Linked DNA regions of Arabidopsis thaliana. The main gene of each other region encodes a partner of the protein of the gene in region 2 in a complex. Each region holds a gene or a part of one and is shown on either strand. Other genes may lie near its edges.

Region 1 (8,094 bases), on a different chromosome or scaffold from region 2:
CTCTCCCAGCCACGCGATCGTCGAAACCGTCCAGGATGTTGCCACGTGTTGAGTCTTTCTCAACGGGCTCCTTTACGGCCCATATGAAATGGACGCCGCTTTTCTCAAGCCCAGAGGCGAGTGCAAGAGTCTGCTCTTTAGTCAAAACTACTTGACTTCCAAAGCACACGTACACCACGTGGTTATCCTCACGTGCGTCAAGCCACGACATCACGTGATCAACAGAAACAGAAGTCGGGCCACCACGGTTATCCCCAGATAACGGAATAATTGGGCCTACAGCCCATACACGATCATGGCCCATCTCTCGCTTAAGATGTTCGAGATAAACACCTTCCATGGCGGTGAACGAGTTCACGACGAGTCCCCAACTCGCCACGTTATCTCTAAAGGAGTCTCTTATGAACTCCCAAGCTGGATCTCCGTGAACGTAACTTCTGTAAAGAGAGGAGATCTGATCAAAACGGTATTTTGGACAATTCGGGATCTTGGGAAAGTGGAGGATCTCGTTATCGTCATCTTCGTTGATCTTGGTGGGCATTTCGATCCAGAGAGTATTGAGTATGCAGCAAGTGATAGCAGCGGAGGGAGAGAAATCGAAACGAGGGATTCCGAGGTTTTTGGTCCAACCAAGGAAGAAATCAGATACGATGGCTACTGGAGGAGAAGGGTGAGAAGTAATCCAAGAGATAAGCGGCGCGTGGAGATTACCAAGCGCGTGGATCATTAAAGGGAAGCCTGAAGGAGGTAAGTCTTGGACGTTTTCGACGCCGGAGGGGATTGAAGGGTGGGAGGGAAAAGGGAGGATAAGTGGTTCGATGTTAACTACGGCGGAGAGAAGCGGAGAGAGAAAAGGAAGGTTTTTTGGAGTGACTAGGACGGTTATTTTTAAGGCGGCGCCGCCGCGGAGAGCAAGGCGGTGGGTGAAGTCGAGGAGGGGAATCATGTGACCTTGCGCCGGAAATGGGAAGATTAAGACATGGGTCTTTGTCGGCTTGTTGTTTTCCTCGTTCACTTTCATAATGAGCTTTTCTAGTGGGACTTTTTTTTGTTTATGCCGGAATGTTTTGGTGGAGCAAAGAGAAAAGAGTGATTTAAATAGATGTGTGTTAACTGTAAATGGCCGATTTGTGTACCCAATGTATTCCCAACACTTGGAAAGAATGCTTACGACACTTTTGATAATACCGTGTGGTATTTTGATTAATGCAGCGTCAGATGACACTTGAGAAGAGCTTATTTTGGAGTGAACAGATTGAGATACTTTTTACGCAACGTCTCTTACATTGTTTTGCTTCTAGTAGCAAAATGGGTCTTCGCTCCTCATAGGTACACGTCCAGTAACATGCTATTTTGGTATTAACTTTTTAAAAGCAGAAAGAGTAGGTGCAAGTCTTGGGTAGGTAAGGTAAAAAAAAATGTTTCAAGTAAGCAAATCTATGTATGGGAATGAGCCCAAAACTTGTTTATGTTTTACAATTTACTGAATCTGTTTCCGAACTCCAATTCAGAAGCCTCGATGAGCATTCAAAAACCTCAAGGGATGGCCAAGTCAGGTGGCTCGGTTTAGTGGTTGGTGCTAACATTTTGGCTCATTGCCAGTCATTGACAAAGCCGAGTTCACATGCGATAGCGAGATGGTCGCTTCCCCAATTCTGCAAATTTTCATTGGTCAGAGACTTGTATGCAACTCTTCCAATAATCCCAGTTTTTACATTCTTGAAAAAATGAATAGAGTAACTCGAGAAAGTAAAGGGTTGCCCCAGAAAAAAAGTTTAGCCTAGAAAAAAAAACTTACCTCACTAGGTAGTCCACCTGTTCTTCTCAATACATCTGCTGGCAAGGTCTCAAGAACCCTCACAGGAACGAGTTCCTTGGTATGCCTGGGTTCAAAACCTCAGATTAATTATTGAGATTTCAAAATTACATGTGCATATATCACAACATTGATAGCCATATATAATTGAAAGCTCTGATTAATGATTCGGATTTCATAAGCACAACAGACTTACCATATATAATCAACAGTTCCAAGGAACCTGGAATGATACGTTGTTGCCAATGGTTCACCGCGTTGATCTCTAGTTCTATATGTACCCTGCAAGATCTCAGGTCTTAGCATACTAGAAGGATATATAACATCATACAACATGCTACTTTCCCTAAACGTTTTTCAGTATCTAGTATAAAAGAAAGCCACAGTTCCTAAGAACTTAGTTTTCCTGTAAGGCAGATTTCAACTCTTTTCGATGCGTCCACCAGTCGAGAACAAGAAACAAAAACACTTACAGGAACTCCACTATATGCGCTGTTAAGCTTCAGTTGATGTTGGACATGAGTGGTTTCTTGACCACCAGTTGCAAGCTGTAATTCTTCCTGGCTCCACTCATTGAGTAGTGATCCGGAGATGGATGCTGAAGCACTGACGAAAGAGGGAGTTGTTTAGTTAGACTAAATTGAGATAGAAACTTCATCTGAGGATTACGTAGTTGATTAAGCGCAGGCCAAAGAAAAATATAAGTAATCTATCACTCTATCAGTTCATCAGGTAAACAGAAGAGATATAAGCAATCTATCCGTTCATCAGGTAGGCAGAAAAGGAATATGGATACATTATTTAGAGAAACCAAAGACCCCGGTGAATTACAAGCTACCTAAATGCATAATGGTTTCTGAATGACCTCTCCTTTGGTTCCACTTCAGTCTGGCCAGAAATTTGCCTGCGATCGTGAAGTTGTGTATCCAACTGTCCAAAATTAAAAAAGGAATATAAAGAGTTCATTCTAACTTTCCCAGTAAAGAAAGGAAAAAAATTATGACCAGGCGAAATGTAAAAGAAAGAGTCCAGAACCCTCAATGGAACTCACATCAGCTGAAGCTATGAAATCATAGATTGCACTCTGTACAGCAAATCCAGAGTAAGTTTTAGAATTCAGCTAAAAAATAAGTATTAGAACAAAAAAAACAAAAGTTGGTAGAGATCACCTGTGGAGTGCTATTCAGATCACCTGCAATCGCCACAGGAATATTTCCCCATTCCTGTGATAGCTTGTAAGCCTTCTCCAGAAAGAGTCTTACCTATAAGTTATGACATATCAAATATCAAGAAATGAGCGAGCTACTTAGAATTTCAATGAAGTTTCAATACTGACAGGCATTGATGTACTGATGAATACCATAAAATAGTACTAGCTAAAAAATTGACATTTCTAAACTCAGGATGTGTAGTGACAGAAATGCTCTACCGATTTTATGGATAAGCCAGTTTTTATCAGAATTTTGTAAGGATCTAGCAAGACATACCTGGCCAAGCTTGATATCCCCACGCTTAGGATTGAATAGGACATGTATATTCCCAACCACTAGCCTTCGAGGACTAGTAGAAGTTTGCATAAATCAACCAAACATGGAAGTGCGCATAAAATTTAGTAAGGATCTTAAAAGTAAGTTCAATATTCACTCCAGTAAAGGAATCAGAACAGAACTCAGACATACTCTGATGATCGCACCCGTAATTTAGACTTTGGGTCCTCCTCACAGTTCATCTGTTCCGTAATAGACAATCAAGTAAATTAATTAATTGCAAGGGCTGAAACTAAGAAAATTAAGCAATTAGCCTGCAAAGCTGAAAACACAACAGGAGGGAAAAATATATAAAATAATGCCCACAATTAAGCTTGTCATATCTCTGTGCTTCTAGAATCAAGAAAAGACAGAGGAGAAAAGAGGGGGAAGACGACAATACAGAAATAACTTAAAACGGTGCATACCTCTAAAACACAAAGTTGAGCAACATTGTTTCGCATACCAAATTTATCAAACTCTATATGTTGATGGTCTAGAAGTTCAAATCTGCATTCACAGCAGAAATATAACATAAATGATGAAACTAGTAGAGTAAGAGTCTAATACAAAATAAATAACATCGAGAACAATAGAAAGCAAAGCTTTCAGCCTTGAACAATATATTGTGAAGCCAAGGTCAAAGCTGATAACATAACACAACGTGAACCTACCATTAACAATTTCGAAACATTCAAAACAGATAACTAGAAGATCTAATTTATCTCGTTCCAAAAGAGAGATATTCCCTGTAGACAATTCAAATGGCTAGATTCCTGATCCTGACTCCAGCATATAGAGACTTCCCACCACATTAAAAATGATCCTAAATAGAAAAAAACTGAACTTACAGATTCTCTTTCCAAAATATAGCACAACCATCACTCGCTTCTCCAGTCCGACTCTAAAAAATACTAAATGTATGAAAAAGGCACCATTGCATACAAGGTAATAAAGCTTTTGACTCGTATATATACCTTGTGAACACCTCGAAATCCTCTATTTTTAAGAAGAACATCTAAATCATCAAAGCGGTCAACCTCCTGCAATAAATTTGGACATGAGAATGCAATGAAACTTAAATAGTGTAGATCTAGGCAATCCCCTGGAACTTGCCTGAAGACATAAGATGCTTGCATTGTAACGACTAATCTCCTTGCATATGAGATGTTTCCGTCTACTCCACTCTAAGTGCTTCCGCGGAACATTGTAATACAAGTCCATGTGGTTCGACGCATTGTCAACACCAAGTAGATTGTACGAAACTAATACTAATTTATCTGAAGAATTGAAAAGGAGATATCAAGTTTTTCATACACATAAGATAAAAATGTGTTCAAAGTACGGAATGTGATACTTCGTGAAGCTAATAAAAGCATATAAGTGCATTATTCAGTGTGATTGCAATGCACACAGACCTGCTAGATTTTCAAAATTGTTTGCGGAAAACACCCATTCGCGCTCAACGGAACTCGAGATCTTCTCCTTAGTTCTCCGTCGCCGGCGGAGAGAAGACTTACTATGTCTGACAGGTTTACAATCACGCTGGCTGAATCCCGGCGTAAAAGAACGGTGAGGTTTTAAGGTTATTGACTCCTTCCTATTCGATTTCTCGTATACGTTCTCCGATTGTTCCGAAATCGAGTTACGCTTCCGCTTGGTGATGGTGATTGAGTTCGCCGTCGTGTTCTTACGCTCGTATCCGCTCATGTCAATCGTAGCAAGTCGGCGGCGCGTGAGCTATGCGTCAACCTTGTGAAGTTAACCAAATTCAGTCGGTTGAAATTCACGATTTTTACTGGTTAACGATTAAAATACGTACTTGATAACCCAAACCGGTTGGCTTAAGTAGTTGCCTAGTTGGGCTCTTTATGTTGGTTTTTTTAATTGTGTGATGGGCTATTCAGCCATAACTAGGCCTTAATGGCTTTTATTTCTTGCTTCATTTGTAAATTGTTGGAAATGGCATGTTCTAATTTGAACTTGTTTCTTGTTTTTTTTTTGTTTTTTTTAATTACACTTGTTTTCTTTGTAACATGTCTTCGCTACGAATTTTTTAGTGTTCGTTATTATCACACATTATGGCTTTTTTCTCCAATTCATTTGATAAACAAAGAGTTTTCATTTGATATATACAATAAATTACTCAATCAATCAATCTATAAAATCATAGTTGCCGGCTACAAGTCTACACAACCATCGGCCCCAAGAGTTTCAGTTCATTATTCAGTACATTACGACAATTACTTCAAAGGTCTTAATTACAAGATCTTTAAAGTGTTGATTAAAGTAAATCAAATCACGTCAAAAGTGACGTCCTCTTCACGAAACGACCTTTGATTCGAGGTCTCTGCTCAGCGTTAAGTTTCCGAACCTCATATCTTATTTTCTTTGAGAACAACCTCGTCCTCCGCTTCTCCTTGTACCTCAAAACCCTCGCCTCTCTCTCCCCGTCCGATCCTCCTCCGTCTCTCCCTTGCTGACGTGTCACCGATCCGTCGCTCGACATCAATTTCTCGTACCCACCCACAACATGAGGCAGACACGTGTTCCCTCCCAACTGGATCAGTGAACTTTATAACGTTATTTCGTCTTTTATAATCAATATATATCAGCTCAAAGTCAACGGAACTCGACACTACTAAAGACTAACATAGAGATGAGAGATATAGCTAGAGACACCAACTTACCATGCACTCCGGTTTGATTCCGGTTTTCCACGGCGAACCGTGATTATCCCAAGCACTAATCACAGCTCCATAATCTAATCTCAGAAACAAACTTGTCTTTCTATCTTTATCATTTGATGCTTCTCTATCACTATCCTTTGATCCTCCATTTTCACACTTGGCTTCTTCTTCTTCTTCATCTTCATCTTTCACCCTCTTCAAATCCTTACAATTAATCTCAAACCCTACTTTATTCTCTTCTTTGATGACTCCAACATCGTTTGGTTCCTTGAATCCCAAGCAAAGTTGTTCTTCCTCAAGTAAACTCTCCACGTCCATAGTGAGATCCTCAAGATCCATATCCAATGGCACGAACCCCATAAAACCTTCATCGTCCATGATTGCCTTCTCGACTTCTCCTAATTCTCCATTAGTAGTAGTGTTATTGACTTCATCAGGAACTAAGCAAAAGCCGTTTATATCATCAATCAGCATGTCTGAGAAAGGATCGAAAACAGGCACGCAACAATTCAGACTCTCCTCGGTTTCTTCTACGGAGGAGAACGAGAAAAAGCCATCATCTTCGTCTCCACCAAGCTCCGGAACAAGAGGATCGTTTGACTCGATTTGCAACAACTTCTCAAACGCACAACTCTTGCTCCTAGGCGTTCTCGCCTTTCTCCTGAATCCTTCGTACCATACCGACGTCGTTTTGTCTGCCGTCTCCGTCGGCGAAGATGATTGTAACCGGACACGTTCGTGCCGTTTCGCTAAATGGTTAGCCGAGTGGATCGAGGCGTCGCAGCTTTGGCATAGGAAAGCGTCATCGGCTGGACAGTACCAACTAGCACGTGATCTCTTCATGCACGCATCACAGCCACGCGCCGCCATCTTCTCTCCTGTCACGCTCGCGGTTCGGCTCTCTACATCGACCACCATTGTGTGTGTATATTACACAGTGAGAGAGTTGCTGAGATGGAGAGAGAGGCCTTGAGAAGAACAAAATACTGTAATATATATGGTTTTGCAACGAATTCACTAGTGTGTGTGGCGTCTCGATTTCCCGGCAGTATTTTTCATTTTTTTCAGAATTATTATTTTTTCATTACCTTGTGTGGTCTAAATTATTTGGAGTGGAGATAGAAATATAAATAAAAACTCATAATTCTATTCATAGTTTATTATGTACGTGTACATGGTATTTTAGAATGAGGACTTTTCACGAGTTTTTTACTTCAAATTTACAATTTTTGTTTTCATTATATTACGTACTTTCAAATAAATGTTTAGAACCATATACTTTTTTTTTGAAAAATTAGAACCATATATATACTTTATTCTTAAATAAAATTTTGAACCAATATGTCTGTAATTTTGCGCTCTCTCCGTTTTCATGATATAGTAAAATATGATCCTCAAATTCTTAATTACGATCTAACCGCTAGTTCATGTATGGTACTAAACTTCATCATTCTTTTCGGAAAATAAGTCATAGTGAAATACAGTTTGGTGAAGACACTGTTATAGATGGTGTTTTTTTTTCGTTGGCAAACACTGTTGAAGATGGTTAATATCAAATAATAAAATTGATCTTGTTGAAATATTAAAAGACAAAAAAAAATGAAAAATTTAAGTTCTGTGTAAAACTAGCTATTGGTGGTTAGTCAAGAGGAAACTTATAATGGAACCCACTGGTGATCTGATTCTGCCTCCTTATTGGTTGAAATATACTGTCATCTCCGTTTTTGCACTCTGATTGGCTCAAGTTCTTCCATGGAGATTCTTACGTGGACCCCACATTTTCAAGTTTTGTTTTGAAACTATTTTGTTTGTTGGTGCGTTTGCATGACCGCAACGCAGCGTGATACTTTAAACGCAGGAAGTTACTTTTCATCTTTTCTTTTCTTTTTTTGTATAGCAAACGACATTCTTTTTTGGAACTTCCAACAACACCTGTGAAGTTTTGTAGAACATTTAACATCCAACTTCTAATGTTTGATGATAGAAAAAAGGATTATATGTCACTAAAAATGTAAAATTTCTGCTTTTGTGATCTTAGAGATGGGTGTTTAATCAGCACCTA
Region 2 (4,624 bases):
CATCCTCAATGAGGATGCTTTATAGTTTATAAATAGGAAAAAACTGCTTTTACGAGTGCTTAGCGTACTGATAAACTCATAAACATAAAGATTTATTTTGGCTCTGATTGGTGATAACAAAAAGAACGATAGGAATATGAATGAAAAAGAACAAAATGAAACAAGAAAGAAAAAGGAAAATGGTCATAAGTAGGAACCAGGAGGAACATAGGAATTGAACAAAATGATTATGGTAAATGGTAACTAAAAAGGTGAATTAATATTTAACATAACAATTACTAAAAAATTATTTATTGAATTTTGTTTATTAATTTCATTTAAAATTAAAGTTCTGTATAAATTTAAAATAAATTATATTATAAATTTCTCTCCAAAACATTTATTTATTTTATAGTAAAATTTTAAATTATTTTGCAAATTTAAAATAAATTTCACTTTAAAACATTTATTTATACTAATTTAAAATAAATTCATAACATTCATTAAATTGAAAGTTTGATAAAAAAAATTATATATCAATATATACTAAAGACATGGAAAATATTATATATAGAAATATAAATATTATCATAAAAGCTATTTTAAATTTATTTAATAAATAAAAACGAATTTTATTTTTTTTGTTACTCTTGGTTCCTCTACAATTTTGGGGTGAAACAATTTTGTTCTATTATTCTTTTTTTTTTAGGAATGATGAGGAAAAATGTAGGACCCACATGTCTGAAATTGGAACAAAAATACCTTGCAAATGCTAAAACAAAATTAGGAACAAAGAGGAACACGATTTTCCTACTCATTTTTTTCCTCAAAAGTGGTTACTAATCGGAAAATATCATCTTTAAACCATTTACTTTTCTCGATTTTAATCAAAAAATATCTAGTGAAGTGAGAGAATTTGCAGAAAAATAGCAGGTAGGAACTTTAGATTTTGAATATTTTATTTCTTTTTTTCTGCCTGTGAGCTCATTGTATGAGATATTTATGAAATATTTGAAGTTAATAAATTATTTTTATTAAACATTTTAAATACAGTTCGGACTTAATTAAAATAATAAAAATAATAACTAGATAATCATATACAGTAGTTTAATTCATGATCTATGACGAGGCACAAATATTTGGTATCATATTTGGCAATTTATATAAACTGAGCATTACTAAATTCTATCAAAGCCATGTAAATGAGAATACGATACAAATGGTTATTTGAATAATAGTGTATAAATAAAATTTAGTTAATCACTAAGTTCTATGAAGACAATATCAATCAGAATAGAACTTGATCATTCATGCATCTAAATGATTGTGTAGTATATTAGTATCAACATTTTAGTCAAGTCAACATGTAATGAAGAAAAAGTTCTAGTGTTGAATTAAGATCACAAATCAATACACAGCAGAAACACAAGCTAGGATCACAAGACATGGTAAAGGATGGGAATGATCTTGTTCAATTGGGCCATGTCAAATTATTCTTGGTGTATGCTGCTACTTCTCCATCTTCAATGTATCTTGAGTCTTGAAAACATCTCATTACTAGAAAAATAATTGAACGGACATATATCATTGATCAGTCTTAGGATTAGACAAAGGCACAAAGCACACACACACACTACACTATTGCTTCACTTTCTATAGTTCTTAACTCCAAAGAACCAAAACGAAGAAAGAGAGGAAACGGAGACAGTACCTTAGCGAAAACCATCGCCGTTAACTCGTTATTGGAACCGGCGTGGTGTGCAGTACCAACACGGTTAAGTCCGAACTCATGCGCTAGAGTCTCCAAACCAAGCCTGCTACTTAGTCCTTCACATCGACCCGCCATGACTTTCAAATCGTAAACAGAACCGAGAACTCTCGCGACCGCTTTAGAAAACCTCTCTGAAGTCACAGGTAAAGCTTCTCCGGTGAAACCCTTGAGTAAATAGGCGATGTCGTAAGATCCATGAAACGTGACCCAAGTAATATTCCTCCTCGTCTTCTTCAGCATCCAAAACATCTCCGAGAAGAAACCCTCGATTCTGATGCCCTCTTCTCTAATCTTCCTTAGATCTAGACCGTTGCGTCTAAGGAACTCAATGGATTTCTCGTTTCTAGCATCGTCAACTCCGAAATCAGAGAAATTGATCTCCCATGTTCCTCCAATTCTTCCATTGATATCGAACAGAGTTAGCCCTAACTGGATCAATTTTGCTCTGTCCACACTAAAACTCATATCCATGTAACGTTCCTCATCTGTCGCATGTTGTGTAGTTTCCCTCAAAGTAGATGGAAACTCTGTGTCTATTGCAATGAAACGGTAGCTTCTTAGACAATCTTCTATTAAACTCATCTCCTTGTTCCTATTTCAATTCCAGATTTCACGACCATTTTGTTCGAGAGCGAGAGAAAATAATGTGAGGGAGTCTTGGGACTGAAACTTCTTTATAGAGTCTGTCACCGCCGCAAAAGTCTTGGATTTGATTTTATTAGTTATTTCGGTTTTGGAAAAGGAAATTTCTTGTTTTCTTGCGAGACTAATATTGTAATTACTGATCATTTAAATTCACCTTTCAGGTATTTAAAATTCACAATATTATAAGAAATCAATGCTACAAATTCAGATTATTCTTTTATTGGTTTACTACCAAAAGTAAACCTATTTTTCAACATATTTCATCACTAGCAATATTAATGTGATGAGACTCTTATTGTTAAAAAGACAAAAATTCATAAATGAACTTTCTTTTTCCATTTTATTAGTTAAGATTAATTGTTTTAGTGAAAAATATATTTTCAGATAAATCTATCAAAAAGAATATACTATATTTGTGATTGTAGCTGTTATTGCTAGTATGTTGAATTTAGTCCGTAAATGAGTTCATGTATCTATAAAATTTAGACTGTCAATTTCCTAAAATCAAAATAACTTTCTAATATATTCATCACAATATTAGTGTGATAAGATTACAAATGTTAAAAAGGCAAAAATTTAAAAATAAACTTTCTTTTCTATTTTATATTAATTAAGATGAATCGTTCTAGTAAAACCTATTTTAAAATAATTATATTGTAAAAGGAATGGTATATTTGCAATTGTAGCTCTACTAATCTAGTTGTTAGTATGTTGAATTTAGCAAGGAAATGTATTGGCTTTATCTATAAACTAGATTTTAACCCGCGGTATACCGCACGGTATACCGCGGGACGATTTTAAAAGTAATATATATTAAAATTTGCAATTTTTAATTTTAAAATATATTTATATTTTACAGTTTATAATTGTTATTAAATAACGCTATACCACGAATCCATGAGATAATTGTTAAAAAACTGAAGTTGTAACCCCTATTAAAACAACAGCATAATAATAATTTAAAATTTTATAAATATTGATTCAAATACATCCACCATATAACCCAATTCCAAAATAAAACCTGTTCTATAATTTATTTACCCGTCCTGTGATTTTTTTTTTAAAGTAGTAATTTTTAAAATTTAAGAATTCTTTTTTATATATAAAAGTTTTGTAAATTGTATATTCTCTAATACATTTATATTTTATAATTTAATTATATATATAGTAATATTATACATACCACATAACATTTTTGGTTTTATATAATCTTTTCTAAATTAGGATGATTTGATATGTTTAATATTAGTGATCTTAAAAAATAATAAATTAAAGATTTAACCCGTATTGAAACAGTGGATTAATTATATTTTACTTTTTTATTAATGTTGATTCAAAAACCCGTCACTCCAAATCCGTCTTGCCAAAAAGCCATTTATTTTATTAATATTAATTTTACTAATGATATGACTCTGAATTATAATTTAAATATTTTAGCTGATAACATAGGAGTACACCATATTTATTTAATAGGGGAATGTACCATATGACCCGAATGCACTTTTACCCAAATCCACCAAACAAATGTTGCAAAAATACTATAGAGATAAAAAACGATAGTCGGTTTTGATAGGTATAAGATTAACAAATATATTAGTCAGCTTAAATTAGTTAAAGAATACAAATCGAAAAGGAATATTACACTTTATTCGAATATAGTATCAAAACTTATATAACACAGAGATTTGATAATTTTTTAATTGTTGAATACTTTTTTTTGTGCTAATTTTTATGTGATTAAGATTTAATTGATTTTGTATATAAAATATTAAATTGTTTTACGAACTTATTTGTTTATAATTTGGTAACAGATAGATATTTGAGTATTCAGTATATTTTGCTTCAGTTTAGGAAATCTTTGATGACCCGTCTTTAGATCCAATAAGCCCTATAATCTAGATATTAACCTGTAGTATACCGCAGGTAGGCTTATATTTTAGTTAAACTAAAAACTTTTATTGTAAAGATGATTTAAAAATATATGATATTATTTTATTTAATTTTAAATGTATAGTAAACTGTGAGTTGTATATGTTTTGTTGATATTATCTATATTGTTTAGTGTTTAAGATTATACACTTGTAGTTTGATTGTTAATTTAAGAGTTTCACCTGTAGTATACCATCTTATATTAATATCGATCTAAACCCGTCAATTCTAGGATTTTCTAGCTTGTATTAAAAATTGAATCACATCATACACATAAAAATTATTATAGTATATAAGATT
Region 3 (7,068 bases), 5.7 Mb from region 2:
TGGTAACCAAGGAAAGGTAATTTAAATCAATATGATTGGTTTCATGGTTAAAAGTGAACATAGTCAGTACTATTGCTCCTTTCGGTTTCACGATTCTGTTTCATTGTCTCTTTGTTCTATTTGATGCATTGTTGTTCAAGAGCACCTTTACAATCCAATTTATTTTATTCTACAGCAAGCTTTGACTCTAGTTTTTGTGGAGACAAAGAAGGGAGCTGACTCTTTGGAGAATTGGTTGTGCATCAATGGTTTCCCAGCAACGACCATTCATGGTGATAGGTCACAACAGGTTAGTGAGTTGTTGATATCAAAATTAGGATATTGTAGAGTATTCTTCAGTGCAACCAAAGCTAAAACCTTATTGTATTTTTTATGCATACAAGGAAAGAGAAGTGGCACTGAGATCATTCAAGACTGGGCGGACACCTATTTTGGTTGCAACCGATGTGGCAGCACGTGGTCTTGACATTCCGCACGTGGCTCATGTAGTGAACTTTGATCTACCAAACGACATTGATGACTATGTCCACCGTATCGGACGAACAGGACGTGCAGGAAATTCAGGACTAGCAACTGCTTTCTTCAATGACAACAACACAACAATGGCCAAGCCACTGGCTGAGCTAATGCAAGAAGCTAACCAGGAGGTCCCTGACTGGCTGACTCGATACGCATCTCGTGCTTCATTTGGAGGTGGTAAGAACCGGCGGTCTGGTGGACGGTTTGGTGGTCGTGACTTCAGGAGAGAATCTTTTAGTCGAGGCGGTGGTGGTGCTGACTACTATGGTGGAGGTGGTGGATATGGAGGCGTTCCTGGTGGTGGCTATGGAGCAATGCCTGGTGGGTACGGACCCGTACCAGGTGGTGGATATGGAAATGTTCCGGGTGGTGGTTATGCACCTTATGGTAGAGGTGGTGGTGCTTACTATGGTCCTGGAGGATATGGAACCGTTCCTAACCAAGGGTATGGTCCTGGAGTGGCTAGTGCGTGGGACTAAGCTTTAACTTCAATTCTTCAAGAACCGATTATGTTCTCTTTCTCTCTCACTTATCTCTATTGTTTATTATTAGGGAGCAGCCACAGATGTGTATGTTTGCTCTTTAAATGGTTATGTAGTAGACACGAATCGTCTCTTTGTTCAATGTGAAAAAAGAAAACCCCCTAGTAGACCCATATTATTCTCATGAGCTATTTAGTCATACAAAGCAGTTCAAACATTAAAATTGATCCAAGGAAAAGAAAAGTCAAAGGGTTTTCACTATATTGAGGATCAAAATGAGATATAAAAGGAGGTTTAGACAGAGCCACACAGGGGTCATAATAAAGAATGACCAACTTCATAGAGTGGTTTGCCTTACTCAGAATCCCTTTGAATCTTTGTGTCATCTCTATCACAGATTTGGTAAAGGTTTCGTCTAAACAGTTGATGTCATAGTCTGATCAAAGAAGAAGATCGGAACAAAAAAAAAAAACCTATCTGTAAGCAAATGATGGTGGGTGGTGAAGGCGGTTAACCGCGTCTTGTCCTAGGCGTGCATCGAAATTCAGCTAAGAGAGCAATGTGATTAGAAGACCATTCTGGGGAAGGAAGAGCTGTGTCTTTTCTTAATCCATCTTCATCCAGTAATTCCAATAGAGATTCCACCATTAATGTATCCGCTGAAACCCAAACACAAAAAAATCTTCCAATTAAGTTAACTTGTTATTTCTGATGTAGTTGAAAACAAGGACAATGGAGTTAAAAATGGTGAAACCTGTGTAGAATATGTAGTCATGAGTGCCGATGAAGTCCCTTGTACAATTGGTAAACAAAGGCTCGTTTGTATTAAGATCTATTCTCCTTCTGTGTTGTTCCAATCCAAGACCCATTATTCCCTTTCTCACAAACGATGAGTACGCGCTCACCTGAAACCAATTCATTTATCAAATATCCAAGAGAGACGCAAAGATAAGCGGTATAAATTTACTTAAATCGAAAAAAGCAATGTTACCAGAGGCAATTGATGAGTCAATTTGGTGTGAGGACGCAGGATATTAAGGGGATCGACTGCCAGATCTGGGTGCATTGGATCAACCTTTCCCATTACAAGAAGTGTATGAGGTGCACTGTCATAAAAATGCCAAAAAGAAAAACTTTAGCTACTCATAAGAGAATTCTGCATTTCATGTATCATGTCAAAAGAATTTATGAATCAACAAACCTCCCAGGAAGCGTATTGAAGTCTCCACACACAAGCATAGGAATATCGGCACTAGCTGCTATTTTCTCTAGTCCCTTTAATAAGGTATGAACCTAAACGCAAAAGAATAAAAGAAAACATGAGGTGAATACTAATTCTTTCGAGTTCAATGAAATTTGATTTATTTCGGATATAGAGATACACCAACCTGCCAGAGCTTCACATCCTTCAGATCTTGTTGAACATTTACATGTGTGTTTGCCTAAACAAGTTGCCACAACAAAATAAGAAAATTCATTGGCTTTCACTAAAAGAGCATATACAGAAACTAACAGTTCTCATGAGAATGGAAAAAAAAAAAGAACCAGTACCACACAAATAAGCTGGCGCTTCCCAGAAGGATCAGTAGGTTGATTACCAAATTTGGCTTCAAGAACAACTATCAACGCAATGTTATCCTACAACATAAGAATCATTGGTTTCAGTTTTGTAAACAATAACTCTCTGATAATCAGCTGTGGCCCAGAAAAATATTGTATACCATGTCAAAAATACCTTAACCAGTCGGTTTAAAGCAGTTCTCTTCTGAGCCTGAGGGATTAGAGCGTCAGTCAAAGACTGAGCAGCCTTGTTGAATTCAACCTGGATTTACAGTCCATGAATTAGTATAGAGATCTTACTGGATCTAGCAAGTAAACATATAGAACTGAATACAAACATCATATTTCTTGACATGCGAAAACCTATCCCGCCGGAAAAATGTTGCACAGCCGTCAATGGCACTTGTACTTCCGCTGAGAACCTAGCAACAAGAAATTTGTGGTTAATAGATTTTAAAACATAAATCACTGAAGGAAGGAGTGTGTGGAATCATTGACCAAACCTCATTAGTCTTCCTCTTGTAAAGAGCTTGATACCCATGCTTATCCAACTCAGGAGCAAAAATTTCATGGAAATGATCACTTTGTACCTGCCAGATAACAAAAAAAAGAACACATTAGAAGTAGATTTTTCAGAATTAAAATGCTTTAAATCATTACCAAGTCCATACGAATAACATACTTCTTGCAGGCAAACTACATCGGCTCTATATCCAACAATCTCCCTTAACAAATTCTGTCTTCGGTATGGCCATGAAAGAGCCCAAGGAGGACAGTAACTGTAGAGGTCGCTACTTGCAGAAGTATCAGACAAAATGTTATATGAAAGAACAGTGAATGATCCTGCAGACTGAATCCGAGCATCTTGATCTAAGTGACCCATCCCATCAGCTCCGTTAACAGGGATTAGCTTACGGGGGCTTGGAGAAGGAGCAGGAATAACCCGTGAAGTCAAAATGGTACTAGGATGTCCGACAATCTGTTTAGTCTCAGCATTAGCCACAACACACTCGAACTTCAAAACGTGGCTAATATCATCAGCTGTTGGAGTGTACGTTTTGCAACCCCCAACCTCAACTAAAGTCTCTCCTCCATTTTTCTGAGTAATATTAGAAGGATAAAACGGAGCTGGACCATTGTTGGCAATACTAAGATTTGACATAGACCCAGATAAGGAACCAGCGAGAGACCCAGAACCCGCACTGTTATTCCTGTTCAAGTCATCATCCTCGTTTGCGTTGTTTTCCGCAGCTGCTCGCTCGTGCAAAGTCCTGTGATGCTGCCACGCATCCGTGAAGCATTTTGGCGAACAGTGATAGCTTTTTGGAACAAGGGATCTACGCTTAGAACAGAAAACACACTGTAAAGTAGCTTGTTCCGTTGGATGCACACTGCAAATCGTTACTTTCTTATCACTCTGTACACGATACCTACAACAAATAAATCCAAAAAATGAATCTACAACAAGATCAGAACTTTACACACAAAAACCATTTGACGACCTAAATCAGAACATCTACATGAGAAATCTCTGAATTCAGATCAAAATTCAATCTTTGATAAACCCCAATTCGCCAAATGATCCAAGAAAGCAATTAGACAAAGAGCCAATCAGAAATCTAACCATCTGTATCTCAAGAAGTAGCCTTCAAGAGGAGCAGATTCAGGGACGTCATCAGTGGTGGAGTTCTTATCGGGACGACGAACAAGGACGTAAGGAGTCAATTCACAGCCCACAATGGGAATTTCAGAAGGAAGATGCACTCGGATCACGCTCAGCATTGCTTTTCAATAACACCTGGTGATTGTCGAAGAACACTATCGAAGCAGCAGCAGCAGAGATTCAGAATCGAAGCAAGACCTTGATGATGATTATTAGATGATGAATATTGTCGTTGATAACCTAATGAAGTGGAGCGTACGATAGGCTGATCCACCATTTACTTGAACCGAAAACCCGACCAATCTCTAGAAACCCTAGAAAATGTCTTCTTCAGACAAGGTTGAAGATCCGGCAGAACCAAATTAGAATCGAAGAAAAGAAAAAAAGAAAGGAAAATGATGGTATCGAGAAAGCTTATAAGAGATGTGAGATCTTGAAGGAATTTTGTATTAAGGATCGATTCTTTCGCTGTGAATATGGAAAAAATCAATGAAATCGATTTTGGTTTTTTTATGTGTTTTTTTTCCCCGAGTGGGTTTAATACTAAAACTATTATTTTGTGCTTTGAAGACATTATTATGAAATTTTATAATATTTTAATTGATCTTCCTTTTCGATGAAAATTTTGGTTTTGGCGCTCAAAGATTGAAAGTTTTTCGTTTTATTTTTGTTTATATAAAGATAAAATTTTAAAATCTAGAAAATGCGTAAAAACAAATAATCCACAACTAAACATGACTTACCAAAGACAAATCAAGATTTATGACTCGTACCATTACGAAAACAAGATTGGTGACTTAAAAGAAGTGTATTTATATCTATGATAGATTGAAGAAAGAAGGAATGGTGAAGATGAGTCAATAGGTGAGTGTTCAACGCACATTCAGTAGGAGCCAGGAGGTGTAGTTTCTTCGTTAAGATTAAGAGACAAGAAATATCAATTCGTGATATAATTATCTTGAAGACGATTTGTTGCAGATTAAGGTAGAATTAACTTCTTCTTCTTTTTTGTTTTTTTTTTAAAATGTGAGAATTACCCAAGAAGAGCAGCATAGTTTATCAATTCAATTGATCTTCTTAAGAATTGTTGAATTTGTCAAATTAATGAAAGAATCACATTTTAACATTGTCAAAATTGTCATGTTCATTTTCGCTTTTGTTTTCGTTTTAGCTAGTTCATTTGGTTTTCATAAATATAAGCGGTTCAAACCTGAAATAATTAAGGTTCGAATTATGAAAATTTTGTTGGTTTTTAATAAATTTAGGTAGACTAAATTTCATTCTTTTCAGGTTTACTCAATTTTAAAGTATAGAAATTTAAGATTTATATCTAACTTTTGTTGTATTTGATATGAAAAGTTATCGGTTTGTATTTTACCGAATTTAGATAACTATTTACAAATTATTATTTTGAACTAATTATAGAAAACAAATACAATGCGTGTCCAGTAAATCAAAGTTGAGAGATTTCTTTCTCGTTTTTAAGCATTCAACACAATTTTTTCTATTTGTTATTTCGGAGGCCTGAGTCCACATTTTATATGAAGCATAACATGGAAAATAATAATAATTATTATTTTTCGAAAGCGATCTTTTCCAAACAAAGAAGCCTCAAACACTATATACGCTACAAAATAACATCTCGACCTTGTAACAAAGAATGCATTAGATATTTTTTTTTTTAATCAAAATTGTTGAGATGAGCAAAAGCACAGAACGTATTCAACTTTTCAAAAGGGTTGTGGCAGCTGAATATTATTTGTTCTATGATGGTAACTAACAATTTGTTTATTTTTTGTTCTTTATAGTGAAATCTTTTGATTTGATTTTTCTTTTTGTTGTTGTTAGTTTTGTTGGAAGCCGTCAAAGACATACAAAAATTGAAAGTTGATCTAACGATAGAAGAGAAGAAATGCTTAGAAATGGTAAATGAGAATCTATTTAACGAGACAGTAAAGATACTAAAACCGCTCGAAGATATGGGTATGAGGTCTGAAGAAACAATCATTATAGATGATAATCAAAAGATGATTAAAGAGTATTTGGAGGACACCTTCATAGTTTGTCATAAAATATGTAAGGAGATTCAAAAGTTGGGTATTTGCCCTTTGTGAGTTAAGTACTCTTATCGTCCTTTTTCTCTAGAGATTTGGAGGGTTTTTCAATATGAATTAGATATGTAAACCAATATTATTCAAACATGAGGTATAATCTAAAAAATGTGAAAGGAAAGATGGAAGGGATGAGGAGAGCAACCTTTTTTATTAATGATAAAATTTCATTGGAAATGATAAACAAATTAAATTATGGAATAAAAATAAAATTATTCAAAAAAAAAAAGTTGAGTTGATTTTGGTTCATTTAGAAAACCATAATATTAATTCGATTTTCTTTTGTTAAATATGGGCCAATTTGAAAGATCTTATTTGTAAAATAATATGGGCCAGATTGGTCAATTGGACAGATAAAACCGTGATACTGTGGTTGAACCAGCCGGTGCGGTCTAGATCAATTATTTAGTTCCCTGGTTCTGAACTTCAAACTTTGTTCTTGATGTTTATAAAAATCCGAACTTTTAAAATTTCAGACCTTTATTAGAACTTTCTTCATGATGCACGAAACTTAGTTCTTAATTATAACTGAGATCGATCTGGGAAGTACTCTGTTTTCAGTATCCTTCTGCATGAGCCTCAGCTGTGGAGATCTCGCCAATCACAACGATCGTGTAGTTAGCTTACTCAATGTCTGCAGAAAAGCTCCTTCCTTTGCAAGGACCAAAGCTCTTCACGCTCTCTCCATCACTTTATGCTCTGTTCTTTTGCAGCCAGTTTATGTCTGCAATAA

What was found. The genes of interacting proteins can lie anywhere in the genome.
Region 1: AT3G44240 (region 2) and AT1G73875 share a complex: the UniProt entries of both Arabidopsis thaliana proteins name them as parts of the CCR4-NOT complex.
Region 3: AT3G44240 (region 2) and AT3G58580 share a complex: the UniProt entries of both Arabidopsis thaliana proteins name them as parts of the CCR4-NOT complex.

Annotation. Positions count from the first base shown.
Region 1 is NC_003070.9:27,778,070-27,786,163, reverse strand, and holds AT1G73875 (DNAse I-like superfamily protein), read right to left. Parts: upstream 5,310-8,094; 5' UTR 5,053-5,309; coding exon 4,761-5,052; intron 4,623-4,760; coding exon 4,459-4,622; intron 4,386-4,458; coding exon 4,320-4,385; intron 4,247-4,319; coding exon 4,194-4,246; intron 3,853-4,193; coding exon 3,771-3,852; intron 3,546-3,770; coding exon 3,496-3,545; intron 3,377-3,495; coding exon 3,304-3,376; intron 3,079-3,303; coding exon 2,986-3,078; intron 2,901-2,985; coding exon 2,868-2,900; intron 2,747-2,867; coding exon 2,655-2,746; intron 2,423-2,654; coding exon 2,290-2,422; coding exon of another isoform or gene 2,206-2,289; exon of another isoform or gene 2,099-2,205; coding exon 2,013-2,098; intron 1,884-2,012; coding exon 1,799-1,883; intron 1,656-1,798; coding exon 1,593-1,655; 3' UTR 1,244-1,592; downstream 1-1,243. Other genes in the region: UGT89B1 (UDP-glucosyl transferase 89B1), read right to left, coding at 1-1,021; BBX16 (B-box type zinc finger protein with CCT domain-containing protein), read right to left, coding at 5,642-5,902, 6,033-6,950. UniProt on the Arabidopsis thaliana protein: Acts as a catalytic component of the CCR4-NOT core complex, which in the nucleus seems to be a general transcription factor, and in the cytoplasm the major mRNA deadenylase involved in mRNA turnover.
Region 2 is NC_003074.8:15,937,892-15,942,515, reverse strand, and holds AT3G44240 (Polynucleotidyl transferase, ribonuclease H-like superfamily protein), read right to left. Parts: upstream 2,333-4,624; coding exon 1,613-2,332; downstream 1-1,612. UniProt on the Arabidopsis thaliana protein: Ubiquitous transcription factor required for a diverse set of processes. It is a component of the CCR4 complex involved in the control of gene expression.
Region 3 is NC_003074.8:21,659,355-21,666,422, forward strand, and holds AT3G58580 (DNAse I-like superfamily protein), read right to left. Parts: upstream 4,742-7,068; 5' UTR 4,344-4,741; coding exon 4,186-4,343; intron 3,992-4,185; coding exon 3,244-3,991; intron 3,152-3,243; coding exon 3,065-3,151; intron 2,984-3,064; coding exon 2,900-2,983; intron 2,824-2,899; coding exon 2,737-2,823; intron 2,640-2,736; coding exon 2,553-2,639; intron 2,444-2,552; coding exon 2,390-2,443; intron 2,295-2,389; coding exon 2,203-2,294; intron 2,108-2,202; coding exon 1,993-2,107; intron 1,907-1,992; coding exon 1,756-1,906; intron 1,661-1,755; coding exon 1,512-1,660; 3' UTR 1,244-1,511; downstream 1-1,243. Other genes in the region: AT3G58570 (P-loop containing nucleoside triphosphate hydrolases superfamily protein), read left to right, coding at 1-16, 176-289, 384-998; AT3G58590 (Pentatricopeptide repeat (PPR) superfamily protein), read left to right, coding at 6,908-7,068. UniProt on the Arabidopsis thaliana protein: Acts as a catalytic component of the CCR4-NOT core complex, which in the nucleus seems to be a general transcription factor, and in the cytoplasm the major mRNA deadenylase involved in mRNA turnover.